Linked DNA regions of Canis lupus familiaris. The protein of the gene in region 1 interacts with the protein of each later gene in a biochemical or structural test. Links are inferred from orthologs where the notes say so. Each region holds a gene or a part of one and is shown in the gene's direction. Other genes may lie near its edges.

Region 1 (8,852 bases):
AGAGCCAAGGAGTAGAAGTTCCCCAAAGAAAAAATGAAGGGCCAGCTTCCAAAACTAAGAGAGGTTAGGGTGTTTGGAAGGCACATTCCACAGATGGCCACCCCCTCCCCCAGGCCCATCCTAGCCTTGGAATCTCACATTGTTGTTTTCCTTCTTCCTCAATACCACCTTTATCTTGGTGCTTGGTATCCCAGCACCTGGAATTGGGCTCAGGAAAGTTTTCCTAAATGAATAAAGGGCTTACAGAAATTCATGCCGCATCCTGGTGACTCCTAAGCGTGGCCTGTATCAATTTTCTAGGGCTCCTGTAAGAAGGCAGCACAAACTGGGAGGCTTAAGACATCCAAAATTTATTCTCGAACAGTCCTGGAGGCTAGAAATCCAAAATCAAGGTGTTGGCAAGGGCTATGCTCCTTCTGCAGGCTCCAGAAAGAATCCTTCCTCGCCTCTTCCAGTTTCTGGTGGCTCCTGACAATTCTTGGCATTCCTTATCATGCGACCAAGACATTCTAAACTTTTAACCTGATTACATCTGCAAAGACTACAGCTGACCCATGAACAGCTCTGGGATCAGGCAGGGACAACGACCGCACGTGTAGTCAAAACCCTGAGTACAACTTGTGACTCCCCCCCCCCCCCACAGAACTCACCGCTACCGTCATCATAGATGCTACAGATATAGATACGTTACTGATGTCACAGACAACAAATGAAAGCTATTCTGATGTTCTATGTGTTATGTGCTATGTTCTTACAATAAGTAAGCTTGACGGAAGGGAATGTCATTAAGAAGATCATAAAGGAGGGACACCTGGGTGGCTCAGCAGTTGAGTGTCTGCCTTGGGCTCAGGGCGTGATCCTGGGGTCTGGGGATAGAGTCCCTCATCAGGGCTCCCTGCAGGGAGCCTACTTCTTCCTCTGCCTATGTCTCTGCCTCTCTGTGTCTCTGATAAATAAATAAAACCCTTTTTAAAAAAAAAAATCATAAAGAAGAGAAGATACATTTACAGCCCTACACTGTATTATTGGGAAAAAATCTGCATATCAATGGTGGATCCACACAGTTTAAGGGTCATGTTCATGAGCCAACTATATATCTGAGGGAGCACACATTTACTACAGGTACTAGAGGGTAGGATTTGAACATATCCTTTTGGGGGGGCACAGTTCTCCCCTTTACACGACCGGCATTAAGACCGGCTAAAAGATGCTGCAGTCTCAAACATAATACCTGATCTTGGTGGTTATTATGCAAGAGTTTGTCTGGTTGCTTTCATTTAATGGTTCCCCCACATCCACATGGGGTTACTGGGATTACCACGGCAGGCTCTTAATGGCAGGCGGTGAAAGGGATACACAGGGATCTCATGTGGTCACCCACAAGTCCATTGCCACTAGACTGCCTGTGCTCTCCAGGCACCTTGGGCCCCTAGTCACTGCCGGGCACTGCTACTCCTCCCTCACTTCTGCAGCTGATGCCATTTCTAAATGCGCACCAAGCACCTACACTGGACACCGACGCCCTGGAATGCCAAAGCCATGCATGTTGTAGAGAGTCACAGTCAGGGCGCCTGGGTGGCTCGGTTGGTTAAGCATCTGCCTTCGGTTCAGGTCCTGATCCTGGGGTCCTGGGATCGAGCCTTGCATCAGCTCCCTGCTCAGTCAGGAGCCCGCTTCTCCCTCTGCCCCTCCTCCTGACTTGTGTGCACCTTCTCTCTCTCTCTCTCAAATAAATAAAATCTTAAAAAAAAGAAAAAAGTTGCTCAGCTAAAGCTGCCCTCTGCAGAGGAGCCCCAAAGCTATGTTGTTTAGGCTGCAGTGTCTTACAAAGCCTTCTGGGAAACGGTTAAACCCTGAATGGGGCCAGCAATATCTATGAGCACAACTGAGCCAAGCCCCATGCGAGGCAACAGGGAACAGCGGAGACTGTGGCAAACCAAAGCCCACGCCTCATCTAAACGGGGCAGCTGTGATTTATCGCCAGCTACCGGTTGCCATGTGAAAATTGGCACCCAGGATTGCCAGATCTTTGGGCATTTTTGAAAGAAAACCAGAAAGTCAGATTTCTACATGAAGTCTCCCAAGTTTCAAAATGCTGTCCAGGCTGGATTCAGCCCACAGGCCACGAGTTTGCAAGCCCGGCTTTTGTGAGACAACTTTTTCCATCTTCCCAGCTGTCCACTCTGCAGCTTGACTCTCTGGCTGCCCACGGGACATGGACATGTGTCCAAGGGGGCAGAGCCAGGAACAATCCCCCTCCCCCACTGACCTCAGCCTCACCCTCCCTCAGATAGCCAGGGCTTCTGCTCAGGTCAGGCCCATGGGCCTGGCTCCCTCCTGTGGGGCTAAGTCCCTCCCTCAGGCCTCCTTTCAGATTGAGTGCTGGCAGGCACGTAGCACACTGCCAGGCAAGCCTGTACATGTCTGAAGCCCACTGAGACCCAAGCTTCCGAGGCTTTTCCGGTTCTCAAGAGAAAAGTCCAGACTTGTCACCATGAACCCTGAAGGCCCTCACTGGAAGATTGCTCCTGGCCCTCGGAGCCCACGGCTTTGGTCCTCAAATTGGTCCCTGCTGATCCCAGTCCCATCTCTTGACCCTGCCCTTCAACACCGCCACCCTTTTTAGATAGAGGGAAACTCCCTTCTCCAGGGCGGCTTGCGGTCTTCCCTCTCTGGACCTCTGCACGCAGGGTGCCCCAGACTGTGCCTGAAACGTCCTTCCCACCGCAACCCCCACCCAACACTCCTGTGTCTCTGTAGGTGGTAGCTCAGAAGTCCCTTCTCCCAGGAGGCCTCCCCTGACCATCTATACTAGTTTAGGGGCTGAGGACAGATGTTCTCACAGCCCTCCAGAGTTCCTCCTTAGCACTTAATTGTCTTTCCCGAGGGAGGGAGGGGACATCCCCCTTGGGCAGGGACCATAACCCCTGTGCTTCCAAGTATGCGTCTCGCACCCAGCATCACGCCGGACGCCAAGCAAACGCTCCAATATCTGCAGTGGGAAGAAAGGAAGGAAAGGAAGCGGGAAGGACGAGGGGAGAGGGCGCGACCCTCCACCTTCTCTGTTGCCACATCTCTTGCTCTTTCCTTTCCTGCCCCTGTCTTCGCCGCTCTGTCCTTATCTTCAGAGTTCTGTCGGCGCCGCTGACCGTCCGTTTCGGAGCTGGCGACCCCGTCTCCGCGCGGCCCCTCGCCCTCGCCCCCGCCGCGGCGCTCCCAGCCCCGCTGCTCCCCGACTTCGGGCGCCCACGGTCCAGGCGGGTCGCGCCCGCTGTCTCCCGCGGGGGGCGGGGGTCCCGAGGCCGGGCGCGGGGCTCCGGGGCGGGGGAGGAGGGGAGGAGGGGAGGAGGGGATGGGGGGGAGGAGGGGAGGGCCGGGGGAGGGCCGGGCCGGGGCGGCGCGGGGCGGGCCGAGCGCGCCCCCTCCCTGCGCCGCCCGCGCCCTCCCAGCCCCGCAGGCCACATCTGGCGGCCGCCCCATCCCGTGTTTCCGCTGCATCCAGACTTCCCCAGGCGGCGGCTGGAGGCTGCGCATCTGGGGCTGGAGCCGTACAAAGCGGCAACGGGCGGCGGCGGCGGCGGCGCGGGCCGGGGCGCGGGCAGGGGCGCGGGCAGGGGCGCGGGCCGGGGCGCGGGGCGGAGGATGCGCCGCTGAGCCGGGCGAGCCGGGCCCACCGAGTCGCGCGGCCCCTCGGAGCGCAGCGCAGCCCCAGGCAGGAGGCGCCGCGGCCGCACGCACCGAGCCAGCGACCCCCCGGGCGACGCGCGGGGCCCCGGAGCGCGATGACCCCGGAGCGCGGGGCCCGGGGCGCGCTGGCCGGCCCGCTGCGGGCGCTCTGCGTCCTGGGCTGCCTGTTGGGCCGCGCCGCCGCCGCGCCGTCGCCCATCATCAAGTTCCCCGGAGATGTCGCCCCCAAGACGGACAAAGAGCTGGCTGTGGTGAGTTGCGGCCCGGCCCCGGGAGGGAGGCGAGTTGGGAGAAACTCCGGAGGCCGAGGCTCGGGGTGGGGTGGGGGTGGGGGTGGGGGTGGGGTGGGGTGGGGGGGTCTCCGGAACAGCCCCCCCCGCGGTGGGCGCGCGGCGTGGGGAGGAGCTTCTGGAAACCGCTCGGTGGGGGGTGGTCTTTGGCCGGCGGAAGGCGGGATCCCTTTTGCAGCCCCTTGGTAATCGGAGAAGGCCTTGGGTAAACAACTTGGCAACTTTGAGGACCCGCAGGGTGGGCGAGGAGCCAGCGGTGGCAGGGCCGGGATGCTTTGGCCAACAGCTGGAAGGGACCTCCTTTGTAAATAAAGGGGCATTGTCTTGTAACCGGGGGATTTGGCAAGGGGGCCCGCTTTGTAAACAACTTTTGGACACATCTGGGGGGTTGGCTACGGGCCCTTGGCCCTTGGCAGGCGTCTTGCTCGGCCTTTGGCCAGCGGTCTGAAAGGGGTCTCTTGAAAAGGGAGGATCTCTTGATCCCGCGTGAGACTTTGAGAAGAGGGTCCTTTGGCGCCCAATTTGGGTTCACTTTGGCACACATACGGATAGGAACTCAGGGCAAAGCAGAGCTTGGCCACCGCCAGGGAACCTTCCGCACACATCTGGAGAGAGGCCTTGGAGGGGATCTTTTGGCAAGTATTCGTGGGCCGGAGGGAAGCAAAGAGCGCATCCTTTCCACCTGGCTTAATGGACAGTTGGCCCGGAGGGTCAAGCGTTGCACCTCGGAAAGTTTCCTCGAACTTCTCCAGAGGCTTGGAGAACCCGGGAGAGGCTGGCGGGCCAGGCGCCGGGAGGGGCAGGCGCACGAGGGGCCCCGGCGCGTGGGGCGGGGGCGGGGGCGGACTGAGCCCCGTGCTGGTGGGACCGCAGCCAGCCAGTCCTCCCTCCTGGCGGGGCTCCGGGCTGTGGCTCAGAGCTTGTTTTGCCAGCGCGCTCGCCTGGCCCAGGAGCTCCCTGGACCGGCCGCAGCGTTACTCAAGGGGGCTGGGGGCATCAGAGGGGCGCTTCCTCTCACCCTGTAGGCGCCTGGAGCCTCCAGGGGTACCTCCCAGCCCACGAGACATCTGCTTCTTTACTGCTTCAGACGCCCCAGAAATCTATTCTCCTTCATCCTGGCCCTCAACCTGCCCAGGACAGGACTTTTGCACCCCCTGGTCACCCTAGGAACCCCTTCTCAGAATGTGATGCCACCACTCCCTCTCCCTGCATATAAGCTTCTGTCCCTGCTGGATAAATAGGTTGGGAGATCATACTTGTCTTTTTTCTTTTTAAGATTTTATTTATTTATTCATGAGAGACACACAGAGAGAGGCAGAGACACAGGCAGAGGGAGAAGCAGGCTCCCTCTGGGGACCCCGATGCGGGGTTTGATCCCGGGACCCCAGGATCATGCCCTGAGCTGAAGGCAGATGCTCAACCACTGAGCCACCCAGGCGCCCCGAGAGACCTTACATTTTTAGGGGGCTACTCATTTCAAGGATCTGGAGCTGGCATGCCTGATGATGTGGCTGTTGCCTGGGGCTGGGCTTTGCAACACTGACAGAGCTCCCCGGGTCCCCACACCTCCAACAGCATGCAGAAGTCCATGTTGCCCCAAGGCCATGCAGTAGGAGGCTTGAGGGGCAGCCTCTGGGCTTAGGCTGCCTGGCCTCTCATCAGGGCGTCATGAGCGGCCAGCGTCCTTGGGCAAGTGACTTCATTTCACAGTCTCAGCTGCTTCTGCAAACAGCATGAGAGTGGGGTCTCAGAGTTAAGGGTGAGGCCATCATAGAAACCTTGAAGGGCCCCTGGCCCATGGTAAAGCCTCAATGGGAGATAACCGTGGTCATTATTCTCATTGTTACTATTATTTTACTCTTTCTTTCCCTTTCCTAGCTACCCCCACCCAAACAGGGTTAGGGCCTCTGTAATAAAGTCTCCGGGCTCTTTTCACCATTCCAACATAACACACCTCACACATCCAATTTTGCACAGACTGTGGTCCATCCACCTCCCCACGCTGGGATTTGCACCCTGGAGACTAGAAACACCTGTCATGTTCACCAGTCTCTCCCGAGTACTGAGGCACAGGTCCTGGCACATGGCAGGGAGGCAAAAACCTGAGCTGGTTGGTCCCTGAAACTCCCTAGGGGCCTGTTTAGTTTAGGCCTCAGCGAGCACGGAGCCAGATGAGGACAGGATGATCTTCTTTTTGGAAATTACAGCTCTAGGATTTGAACACAGGTCTGTCTGCTACAGGAATCCATGTACATGAGCCTTGAATATCCTTCTAAGGAAAGTGAGAAAACCAAATCCCTCTGTCTTCAGCAGTTAGGTGAATTAAAAGAGATGGTGGAGGTAAAGAGGAGAGGCAGAGAGTTATACTTCCGAGCCTGGGCTCCAGAGCCAGATTGCTTGGGTTCAAATCCACCCTCTACCATTTGCGAGCTGGGGGATCATAGGCAAATTTCCCAACCTCTCTGTGCTTTACTTATTTATTTAAAGATGTTATTTATTTATTCATGAGAGACACACAGAGAGGCAGAGACGTAGGCAGAGGGAGAAGCAGGCTCCCTAAGGGGAGCCCGATAAGGGACTCGATCCCAGGACCCCGGGATCATGACCCGAGCCAAACGAAGGCAGACACTCAACTGCTGAGCCACCCAGGTGCCCCCTCCCCTGTGATTTAATTTCTTTCTCTGTATGAGGGAGATAGCAAGAGTAACTGCATTACAGAGTTGCTCTAGGGGCATCTAGTAAGCTCCCAACACGTGCCCCCAGCCATGTGTCGTTACAGCTTTCAGGTCACTCAGTGAGTGACAGAGCTGGTTTGGGAACCTGGGATTCTATCCCAGTGCCGTTAGGTTCCTGACTATTTTGGTCAACATTATGTTATCCTAACATGGCTGCTTGCCTCGGGCTGTTTGTTTCTTCCAGCAATACCTGAACACCTACTACGGCTGCCCCAAAGAGAGATGCAACCTATTTGTGCTAAAGGACACACTGAAGAAAATGCAGAAGTTCTTTGGGCTGCCCCAGACTGGGGAGCTTGACCAGAGCACCATCGAAACCATGCGGAAGCCACGCTGTGGCAACCCTGATGTGGCCAACTACAACTTTTTCCCCCGAAAGCCCAAGTGGGACAAGAACCAGATCACATACAGGTGCGGAGGCAGGGCTGCAGGCAGTGGGGTCCCAGAGCTGGGGGACACTGAGTGTCCTTGGGCCTTGCCTTCTCCTTTGTGGGGACCCAGGGTGTATCCAGTGACAGCCTGGCATCTTCAGAAGTTGAGTCCAAAGTTCTTAGGAACTGGAGTGAGACCAGAACTTGAATCTCACACTAGCCTGGGGGCAGCAGGCTGCTTGGCTTGCAGTGCTCTGAGCCTTGGCTTTCCCGTCTATAAAATGGGGCTAAAACACAACCTCCTCTTAGGTTTGTTGGAAACTAAGCTTGGTCACCGATATAAAGGGATATCCTAGCACCCAGCATACAGTGAGAGTGTAAGGAACGCCAGTCACTGTCCTTATTAGAGGGGCTCATAGGGTGGGTGAAGGGATTTGATGATTGGTTGTTGAGTTTTATATGGTATTATAGAGTTGTTATTATCGGTTGTTAATTGGGCTGAGAGCTCCCTCTGAATGACTCATGTTGGATTCCAAGGGTGAGATCTCTGTCTCATAGCCTTCAATGCGCTATTCATGCCCCCCCCCTGCCACCCACCAGCCGGAGGTGAGAAAGGAGACTCTTGAGCCAGGTGTGGAGATGTGGGCTGGTCTAGGACTTCACAGAAGCCCAAGGCATTCTGGGTGGACTGTTCTCTTAGCTCTGCTCCACATGCACACATGTATACCTGCTTGTGCATACACACTCATGCACACTCATACATGCCTGCAGAAACCTATGCACCCCTTACACGCTTAGGCACAAACTTACATACCTGCATACATGCACGCACATTTGCACACATTCATGCATGGTCACACACGCACACTTGTACATGTACTTGCATGCTTGTGTGCATATGCACACTCCCGTTCCCTTGTACACCCAGACACACTCACATGCATCTCCACCCCCTGCAGGATCATTGGCTACACACCTGATCTGGACCCTGAGACAGTGGATGATGCCTTTGCTCGTGCCTTCCAAGTCTGGAGTGATGTAACTCCGCTGCGGTTTTCTCGTATCCACGATGGAGAGGCTGACATCATGATCAACTTTGGCCGCTGGGGTAGGCAGAAGAGGGGTCAGCAGAAGGCAGTCTGGCCATTGGAGGGGCACGGGGTCCTGAGCAGAGCTTAGACAGGAAAGTAGAAGATGTGTAGACACTGGAGAGCCACATTGATGTGGGGGCAGATGATGTGACAGTGAGTTTATCCTGGACGCAGTGTAATCCTGAAAGCAGGTGGTCCACCTGCATCCCCCAACGTGGTAGTCACTAGGTACATTGGGCCATTTTAATTTAAATTAGTTAAAATTAAATTAAACTTAAAATTCAGTCACACTAGCGACACTTCAGCTCCTCAGTGGCCACATGAGATTCATGGCTATTGAATTGAATGGCACAAAGAATCTCCTCATCGTCACAGAAAGTTCTGTTGGCTGAAGCTGGTGGACACTGAGGAATTCTAGATGTGAGAGAGGGTCAGAAACAGCAGAGTAGTGTAGACTTGAGAGGAAATGGGCTAGAACCTGGCATCAAGGATGCCATGTGGGTTGGTACTATGAACACTGGCAGTAGTATAGACACGAAGGTAGATAATGTGGAGATTGTGAGTGGTATTGCGATGTGGGTGAATGGCAGAGGCAACAGTGTTAACATGTGGGAGGGTGGTATGCACCTGGGTGGCAAAGTAGACTTGTGGGTTAACATTGCGGATAGTGAAAAAAAC
Region 2 (8,996 bases), on another chromosome or scaffold:
TAGTAAAAAAAAAAAAAGTAAAAAAGATTCTATGCTTCAGTTCTGTACAAGGGCTCTTCCCTGAATACTTATTGGGTGCCTCCTCTGTGCCTGCTGCTGCACAAGTTGATGGGGCTGCAGAGATGATTTTACTGTTCCTGCCCAGGGAGCTCTTTAAAGGATAATAGAAATTCCCATGTGTGCAAAGGGCGAAAAGAGAGGTGTGTGCAGAGTTATGACAAGGGAGGGAGGGGCATGGCTCCTAACTAATTCCAGGGGTGGGATTTAGTACAAACACTAACCAGGGGAGACAAGAACAATGGAAATAGATGGACAAGGGAAAGGGAAGCTGTTTAGGCTTAAAGTCTGCTTAAGTGCTGAGCGGCCAAAAACAAATTTGTATGTTAGAATGTTCTTCATTTGTAAAGGAAATACTACCCTGTAGGTTTTACAAAGTGAGAGGCTCACATTTCCAAAATTGGAATTGTAAGCTATTTGCATTCTTATGTACGTTATAGAAGATTGGGTCATCTTTAAATCTTTTCTTTCTCTAAATTCGAATGAAGGAAACTTAACTTTCCATTCTGGCAAATGGACATAGTTAGGTGGAGAAGTCATCTATTCTCATAACTACTAGGCTTTTAGTGCTGTGGAGTGTTTCCAGGGCTATATATTTTCATTTAGGAGTTCCTTAACCTTTTCTGAGTTCTGGAAGCCTGGTGAAGCTTATGGATTCCTTTCAATATATAAAAATATATAAGATATGTGAATGTATAAAATAAAGTACATAAGATAACAAAGAAACCCAATTATTTAAAATAATTATCAAAATATTAAACAAATCTGCAATTAGTAGAACAATATATTTCTTTGTAAATAACAAAAGTATTTTCAGGTACAAATGCAGTGACAGTTCTAGTAACTACCATGATTCCTGAGTAGTGATAAAAATAACTGGTATTTAAAGATACCTGGCGTAACTGTAGTTTGAATCAAAAATCTCTGTGATTACCTTTAGTAACAAAGGCACTTGTGCTGTTGCTACTACAATAGCTTATTGTGGTTTATAACTGAAGAGATGTCAAATTTCATTTAGAAGCTAGTGAATAAATGAATAATGAAATAAATGAATAAAATAAATATTCATTTTATTTCTCATCTTAGTTAATGGGACCTCCTCTGACTAGAAAGGAACTCAGGCTAGGATTCCCTGACTTGAATGGCACCCTCTCTCTGGTCTCTGCCTTTTGGTCCAGGTGAGGCAAAACTGAGAGTTGGCTGCTATCTGGAGGCTCAGATATTCCACTGGGCTGAGGAGAAAGTGAAGAGTATCTGCTGGGTCCCCAGCCCCACTCACATATAAGCCTTGTAGTTGTTGCCTATCTTCTGGACCCGGATGTCATACTTGGCGTCAATAAAAGGCTCTGCTGTGGCATACGTCTGGGTGAGAGCCACCACACTAGCAATGTCCTGGAAGTCGTAGTGGTTTTCCACTTTGACCTAATGTTGGAGCAAGGCAGAGAGGAAGAAAAGGAGACATACCAATACATACACTGAGAGTCACAAGAGCTCTGAGCCTCTAAACCCATCACGATGTTGTCGATCTGTATGTAAACCTGGATGTCACATCTCCCTAGGACACCCCTCCTCTCTAGTTTCCCCTCCTAGAACTCAGGAGCCACACTTGCTGTAAAGGGCCCAAGAACCCAAGTGAGTGGCCTGTACTCTGCTTGTTGGAAGAGGTCTGTTTGGGTAACACTCATGGCTTCAGAGAGGCCAAATCATCTCCTTAGAAAGAATAAATGGGGAAAGGAGGCAGAATAATCCATAATAAGGCTCTCTGAAAAGTGCCCTTCTTGGCCTCAACCCCAAAGCATAGCAAACCCTTACCATGGCCTTACCTTGCCCATGCCTGAGTGAGCATGGCCAATCTTCACCACCACAGGGAATGTGGGCAGTGTCAGCTGAAAGCAGAGGAGGAAGGAATGAACTGGTCAGACTGTGCCTCATCTCTGTGGAATCTTACAGATATTTTTCTTGGTAACACCTTTGGAAGGGTCCTTTAAACAACTAGACCAACTTACTTGGTTTACAAATTAAATAACTGAGGTCTGTAGAGTGACAGTGACCTGCCTAAAGTCATAGCATACTAGTAGCAGAACTGTAAGAACCCTGTTCTGCCACTCAGTACTCCACATCTTCAAAATTCATTGCTTCAATCTCTGCATTAGACAAACCCTGGGCAGGATCAGTCCTTAACCAAAGCGAATTTAGAAAAAAAAAAGAAAAAAAAAAGCATCTTTGAAAGGGTGAATCCTGTTGTATATAAATTGTATCTTAGTAAACCTGAATTTAAAAAGAAATATATCTTGGAATCTTAATGTCCCTTTGTCATATACCTTTTAGTACCCTCCCCTTCCCCTTCAAATGTCCAGCTTCCTATTCTGAACCTGGCCTTTTCCCTTCCTTTCAGTGTCTTCACTGTTCACCAACACTCCAAACTCACCACCAAACACAGCGTTAGGATGCTAAGCCCTCTTTCTGCCCAGTTTGGGGTTTGGAAGAGAAATGACTTAAGAATTCAGCATGCTTATAATTTGAAAGACATCCTTAAAAGTGTAAACTCTATTTTGGGATAGTCATACTTTAACAGAAGGACAATAGAAACCTAAAAGGAGAACTATCCTCCAAAGGCAGGATTTCAAGTGGTTACAAGGTGGTGATGGAGGAAGTACTAGGGTGGAGTGGAAGAAGCACTATACCATATGTCAGGATATTTGCACTCTAGTCCTCTCTGCCATTAACTTTCTGCAAGTCACTTTCCCTCACAAGTCACTTTGTCTTCACATTTGCCAAACAAAGAGGTTGGACTGGATGCCTTTTCCCATGCATCCAATACATCAGGCTCTATCTTGGTTCGAGTGTTATATGAGGAATCAACCTGGTCCCCAAATCTCATCCTTCTCAATCAGACTCAGCTCTCTTTCAATTCTTTTCTTTTCAAACATCACTATCACATCAAAATGGGAAGATATCTTTTGAAAAACTTAAAGTTAACTCTGATAAAAAGTCAGATTCCTATGGGAATTCTGGGTGTGGACAGATACTGGGAACACCCAACCTGAGGATTTCAGTATTTCTGGCTGAGACTAGTTGAAGCTGGGGCAAAGAGCTTCAAAGGGCTTTGGAAACATGTAGTTCAAGCCTATATAATGGGGAAGAAAGTGAGGTAGAGGTTGCCAGAGAGGCAAAGGTTGCAAAGCTACCTTGTGACAGAATCAGAACCTAGCCTTCCACCTTCTAGTTCAGCACTGTGTGGGAATATCCTACAATAATCTCCTGGGTCTCTTATCCTTTGGAGACTTGGAGCCCTATGCTCTGTCAAACAGAGCAGACAAGGCTCTGGTTGCAGTGACCCCATGAGCCTTGGTTCTTTGACAAGACTCAGTCTTCTCCAGTGAATAATGACACGAGACAAGAATCAGTGGTCTGAGAATCCAGGGTCTGGAGAGGGCTTTGAAGTCCCAGGTTTGCTTTAGGTGATGGGATAACGCCCGCAAGGAGCACGGTCCTCGGCCATCTGCAGAGTCTGAGGCTCTGGATATGGGAAAGGGTTTCTAAAGCACAGGCTGCTTTCTCTGACATCTCTCCCCACCCCCCAGCCAACAGCGCCAAGACACACACACACACCCCAACTTTCTCTGTCCTATTCCATTACTGTTTGCTGTTGCTTTGGAGCCTCATAAATAGGGCATTGAAAACACTTCCTGCAGCTGAAAGAAGCCCTGAGTAGCTTGTCTCATTCCCAGTGTGCAGCTCAGCAAGAGGTCCGTCCTCTCTGTCACTGTCTCTTTTGCCTGTTGTAATTCTGTCTGCCTCTCTCTGACTCTGCCTGTCTCACTTTCTGTTTGTGCCTCTCCTCACTCTTGTTCCTTCAGAGTGAATCACAAGCCCTGGGTCTTTCTGCCCTCGTGCATTTGTCTTTGTTTCACTTTCTTTCTGCCTTGACACCATCCTTTCTCAGTGCTTTCCCTCTACTTCTATAAGGCTTAATTGCTCAGGCAGGGAAATAGAGGCCAGAGGCCTCTCTCCTGGCTTCCCTCTTCATTTTACTGAGCCTGCCAGTCAGGAGAGCTGTGGGTCCTGCAGCCGTGGGTGGCCTACTGCCAAAGGAGGGAGGAGCCCATCCGGGCGGGACTGCTCCTAGGTCCACCTCAAAAAGCCTGGGGTGGGGGGCGCGACGCTTCTGGATGCGCCCTGGAGGGTCTGTTTGGTCTGACAGTCCTCGCAGGCTCAGTCGGGGCTTTGCGGTGTCATGCCCCGGGGCCCCCGGACCGCGCCGAGCTGGGCGCTGTTGCTGCGGCTGCTGGCACTGCTGCGGCCGCCGGGGATGGGTGAGGCGTGCAGCTGCGCCCCTGCGCACCCCCAGCAGCACGTCTGCCACTCCGCGCTTGGTGAGTCCGGAGGCCCAAGAGGTCCACAGCAGGGGGTGGTTGTGTGGGGTTGGTCTGGGGCTGAGCTGTAGACCTGGAGTCTGAAGGAAAAGGGAGGAGATCAAATACTGCACCAGTTGCCTCCTACTGGGGCTGATGGGTGGGCAGGGCCGGCGCCATAGCAACCTTGCAAGCTCAGAGCCTGGCTGACTTGCAAGGAAATGAAAGTGTAAGGGACCCCCTTAATGAACCCCTGCCCCCTGCCTACTGCAATTATGGAGTGTCCCTGAACAAGTCACAGGAGCTATCCAGTGATTATTCTGAACTACTGGATGCGGGGAGGGGGAAATAAGGGCCAGGGGACTGGGCATTCATTATAAACATCCCACTGTGACCAAGCCTATAATTGTTTACTCCATGCACCCCACCCCAACATACACACACCTTTGCCCCTTCCCTTTCCTTTGCCTGGAATGCCCTTCCCCCATACCTTTAAATTTCTGGCAGACTTCTATTCATCCATCAAGGTCTTATTTAGGTATCTCTTCTCTGAAGACTTCCTGACTCCTTGGTGTTACCACAGTATCCCTAACATTTTTGTACTGCCAGTATACTGTGCTGTTATTCTTTGTAAATGTATTCTCTACTAGACCAAGAGTTCTGCAGGATGGGAGACCCTGTCCTAACCATATGTATGGACTAGTACTATTACCTAGTGTTAGACCAGGCACAGAGAAGAATTTTATAACCAGTTTTTGATTAATGCCCAAATGGCGAGAGATAAACTACCTCTGTGCAGGGTCAGAACATATTTATTAATTCAATAAACATTTACCAACATCAGGTCTGGGTGGACTCTGTTGAGGCCTCAGACTATGTAAGTAGATGACTGCAAACTGACTATTCTCAAGGGGCTCCTCTTCCTTCTTCTATCCTGATGCCCACCTCCAACCCACTGCAATCTAGGCTATGCAGGTAAAGTATAGAAATTATACTTTAATATAAAGTATATTCTAAAGAGACCTAATAGGCCTGAGGGGTTTAGAACTTCCAGCAGCTGCAGAGGAGGAGTTTACAGGTCCCCACTCTTATATACATGGTCCTCCGTACAATCCAACAAGACCTAAACCCAGAATTCCCTCATAAAATTCTTCAGGGGGCTGAGGTCATCCAGATGCCAGATGGAACTGCTTCAACAGGTTGCTGAAGTTCCCCTCTTTTCTCTTCTTATGCAGCAATAAGGGCCAAAATATCCAGTGAGAAGGTAGTTCCTGCCAGTCCAGATCCTACTGACACTCAAAAAATGATCCGGTATGAAATCAAACAGATAAAGGTACATGGGGACAGGACAGGGCATTAACCCCCTCGGGCTATTGGGAGGAGTGGGGTCTGTGTACTGGGAGTGGGGCTGGTAGGTCAGGCAACCTGGCTCATTGATCCTGGGGTATTGATGCTGAAGTGGCAGGGAGGAGGCCCCACAGGCCCTTAGGGGTCCATCTAGTCCTACAGCTGCCTATGCGTGAGGCTACTAGAGGTATTCTCACTGGAATAAACCAAAGTTTAGATTTTTCATAAGAGAGAAATGATCCAGGTGGGCCATCTGTGTGTGCCAAATCCTGAACTAGACTTTTGTTTAAAATTTTTTTTTTTAGATTGAGAAGTGAGTTTTTCCTGTTAAGATAAAAAGTATACTCACTGACTAAATATTGTTTTTTGTAATTGCCTTTCAGATGTTTAAAGGGTTTGAGAAAGTCAAGGATGTTCAGTATATCTATACACCTTTTGATTCCTCCCTCTGTGGTGTGAAACTGGAAGCTAACAGCCAGAAGCAATATCTCTTGACTGGTAAGTTAAAGACCAACAAGTGGCCCTAATAGTCTCTGTCCTAAGCAAAGCAGTCAAGAAGGAGCCAGGGCTCCTTGGGCAGCAAGCTGAGCTAGGTGGCATTTTCTTGGGCATAAAACAGAGTTGTATTACTAAGAGGCAGCCTCTGAGTTGGGAGAAGCTGTGGTAACCTTTCTTTCAATGAAGAGTCTTTATTACAGTGATCTTGGCCACTGTTTCACTGTTTTAAGGACAAGCTGCTCTCCCAGCCTAGGGCAGCTGGTTCCATTTTCAAACAATTTTAATTGATGTTAAGTTTGATATCTTAAGCCAAAAATATGCCACTCTGAAACTGCCCCTTGTGAATTCAGTTCTGCCCTCTGCCTATGATAATCCCTCACAGGCCTGAGGACCATAAATACATGCATTCTAGCTCTAGGCCTGCTGGTCATGGTTCCCAGACCCCTTCCTATCCTGGCCACTTTCTCAAAATGGGATAAACACTGTCCCTGTCCCTACCCTCACACAGGACCCCAAACTGGACACTGTATACTATAGGTGATGCCTTGGTTTCACAGAACAAACAAGGATTGTGCATGTGCAACCTTGCCCCACAACATATATACTATAGTTACTGTAGTCTATAATGGCATTAACTTTAGGTTGCTATGTTGGGTCATGATCTTGGCTCATAGCCTCGTTGGCTAACTCACATTAAAGACCATATTCTGGGGTACAGTAAAGCACGGTCTTTAACAGAAGCCTTGAATCTAACAATTCTAACAAATCTCTATGAACCTGGGCCCAGGCAGGTCTCCATACTCAACTGGTTGGGACAGAGTAGTTAAGAAACCACACAAGAATATGACTCTGTGAGTGAATGAACACAATACTAAATTATTTTATAGTTTAGGGAAAAGAGGTATCTGTGTGGTTGTAAACAATAAGGAAAACTTCACTGTGTAAATGGGACCTAAATTGCCCCTAAAAGAAGAAAAATATTTGGAAAGAAGGCAACAAAAAGAAAAACACAGCAGGTGAGGAGAACAGAAGGAATTTCCACTATCTGTCCATCCATTCAGCAATAACGACCACCCACTCACTGCCAGGCCTTGGGCAGGAGTGTAGAGACTTAATGACAAGCCACAGTCCTCAAGGAGCTCACAGTCCAGGCTTGGCTCTTGAGAAGTCATAGCCATTAGAAGCTACACTGGTAGAGGCTCCCCAGATCTAAGGATGTGGAATTGTGTTGATCTGGGAGCCTCTGGATGAGAGAGACAGAGGCAAGGGCATGCCACTGAGGCCTCCAGGTCCCAGGATTAATAGACAAACTTACTTCATTCCCTCTGTGTGCTAGCTCTCTGCCAGGCACTGTGGTGCATTCAGGGGAGGAGAAGACATGTTCTTTGTCCTCAGTGTCAAGTCTCACTGATAGGTGGGGATAAATGACAAAATACAAGTCCTCTGAAAAGTCATCAGTGGCCCATGCTCTTCAGAAGAAGGCACAAGCTCTTTTGTCTAATGTTGAAAGTCCTTGTGACCAGAACACTGCTGACCTCTCCAGCTTTGTCTCCAGCCATGTGTGATTGACAGTTCCCAGCCCCTCATTTCCCCCAGAGCTGAAATAAACTACTTGTAGTTGCAGAAGGTGTTCTGCTGGGTTGTGCCGCTCCACCCTGCACAGGGCAGTCCAAATGTCCAGAATTCCTTTCCCTCATTTGTCTGGCAGGTGAACTCCTACCCACCCATTCAAGGCCAAATGCAAGCATCATCTCCTCTGAGACACCTTCCTTGCCCCTCACCCCTTCCACAGATAGAGATAATTGTGCTTTGTTCATTCTTATAGAACAGGATAATTTTTATCTACTTATCTATCTGCCCTACTGTTTATTAAGCTCCTTTGGAAAGAGATTCCGTCATATGTATTTCTGGGACTAAGTCATAGCAGTTGCTCAGTGAATAAATGAGTGACAGAAGTTCTAAGAGGGATATGGGCTAGGGTGGTCAGAGATGGCTTTGAGGACACTGTGGTACTCAAAAGGGTCTTTGGAAGCTAGGAAAGGGTTTGATAAGTAAAGAAGGCGTGCTTTTCTGTGGGGAAGGGGAGAGACTCACCAGGATAGGTATCGACAAGGCAGGAGACTAGGCTGTGTAGATGTTGGGAAGGGTTGGAAAGAGGAAGGGACCTATTATTTATGGAAGCTTCTGTGGGCCCGAGCTGTGCTGGGAACTTTACATTCTCTCATTTCATCTTGACGACAACTTACTACTTTCATCTTTGAGCTGAGAAGTCATGTGACTTTCTGAAGGTCATACAGCTGTAAATGAGAGAAAGGGGGTTGTACCAACAGTCTGACTTTAAAGCTCTCTGCACCACATTAAAGGCCTTCATCCTACAACTCTCTCTCATATGAACATAATCTGTTAACATCTTTAATATGTAAATTACAGAGTTTTTTCTGGTTCTTTAATTGAGCTTCATGCCACCAAGAAGCCATTGAAGAAGCGGCATTTCTGAGCTCTTTGAGGACCTGGGTTCCTGGAGGTCCACAAGCAGATTCCTCATGCTAGGTTCTCCTCCATTCCCCTTGAAGGTCAGGTCCTCAGTGATGGAAAAGTCTTCATCCACCTGTGCAACTATATCGAACCTTGGGAGAACCTGTCCTTTTTGCAGAGAGAAAGTCTGAATCATCACTACCATCTGAACTGTGGCTGCCAAGTAAGGGAATGTCCATTGGCAAGGTCTTTGGGGGGTGAGGG

The links.
Region 2: the proteins of MMP2 (region 1) and TIMP4 form a complex in vitro, tested with the Homo sapiens proteins (2 studies listed by BioGRID). The link is inferred for Canis lupus familiaris from reciprocal best matches to the Homo sapiens genes MMP2 and TIMP4.

Annotation. Positions count from the first base shown.
Region 1 is NC_049223.1:59,767,296-59,776,147, reverse strand, and holds the start of MMP2 (72 kDa type IV collagenase), read left to right. Parts: upstream 1-3,784; 5' UTR 3,785-3,938; intron 3,939-6,896; 5' UTR 6,897-6,971; coding exon 6,972-7,123; intron 7,124-8,042; coding exon 8,043-8,191; intron 8,192-8,852.
Region 2 is NC_049241.1:6,469,124-6,478,119, forward strand, and holds the start of TIMP4 (metalloproteinase inhibitor 4 precursor), read left to right. Parts: upstream 1-4,268; 5' UTR 4,269-4,294; coding exon 4,295-4,433; intron 4,434-5,647; coding exon 5,648-5,745; intron 5,746-6,142; coding exon 6,143-6,257; intron 6,258-8,830; coding exon 8,831-8,955; intron 8,956-8,996. Other genes in the region: SYN2 (synapsin-2), read right to left, coding at 1,337-1,479, 1,881-1,943. UniProt on the Homo sapiens protein: Complexes with metalloproteinases (such as collagenases) and irreversibly inactivates them by binding to their catalytic zinc cofactor. Known to act on MMP-1, MMP-2, MMP-3, MMP-7 and MMP-9.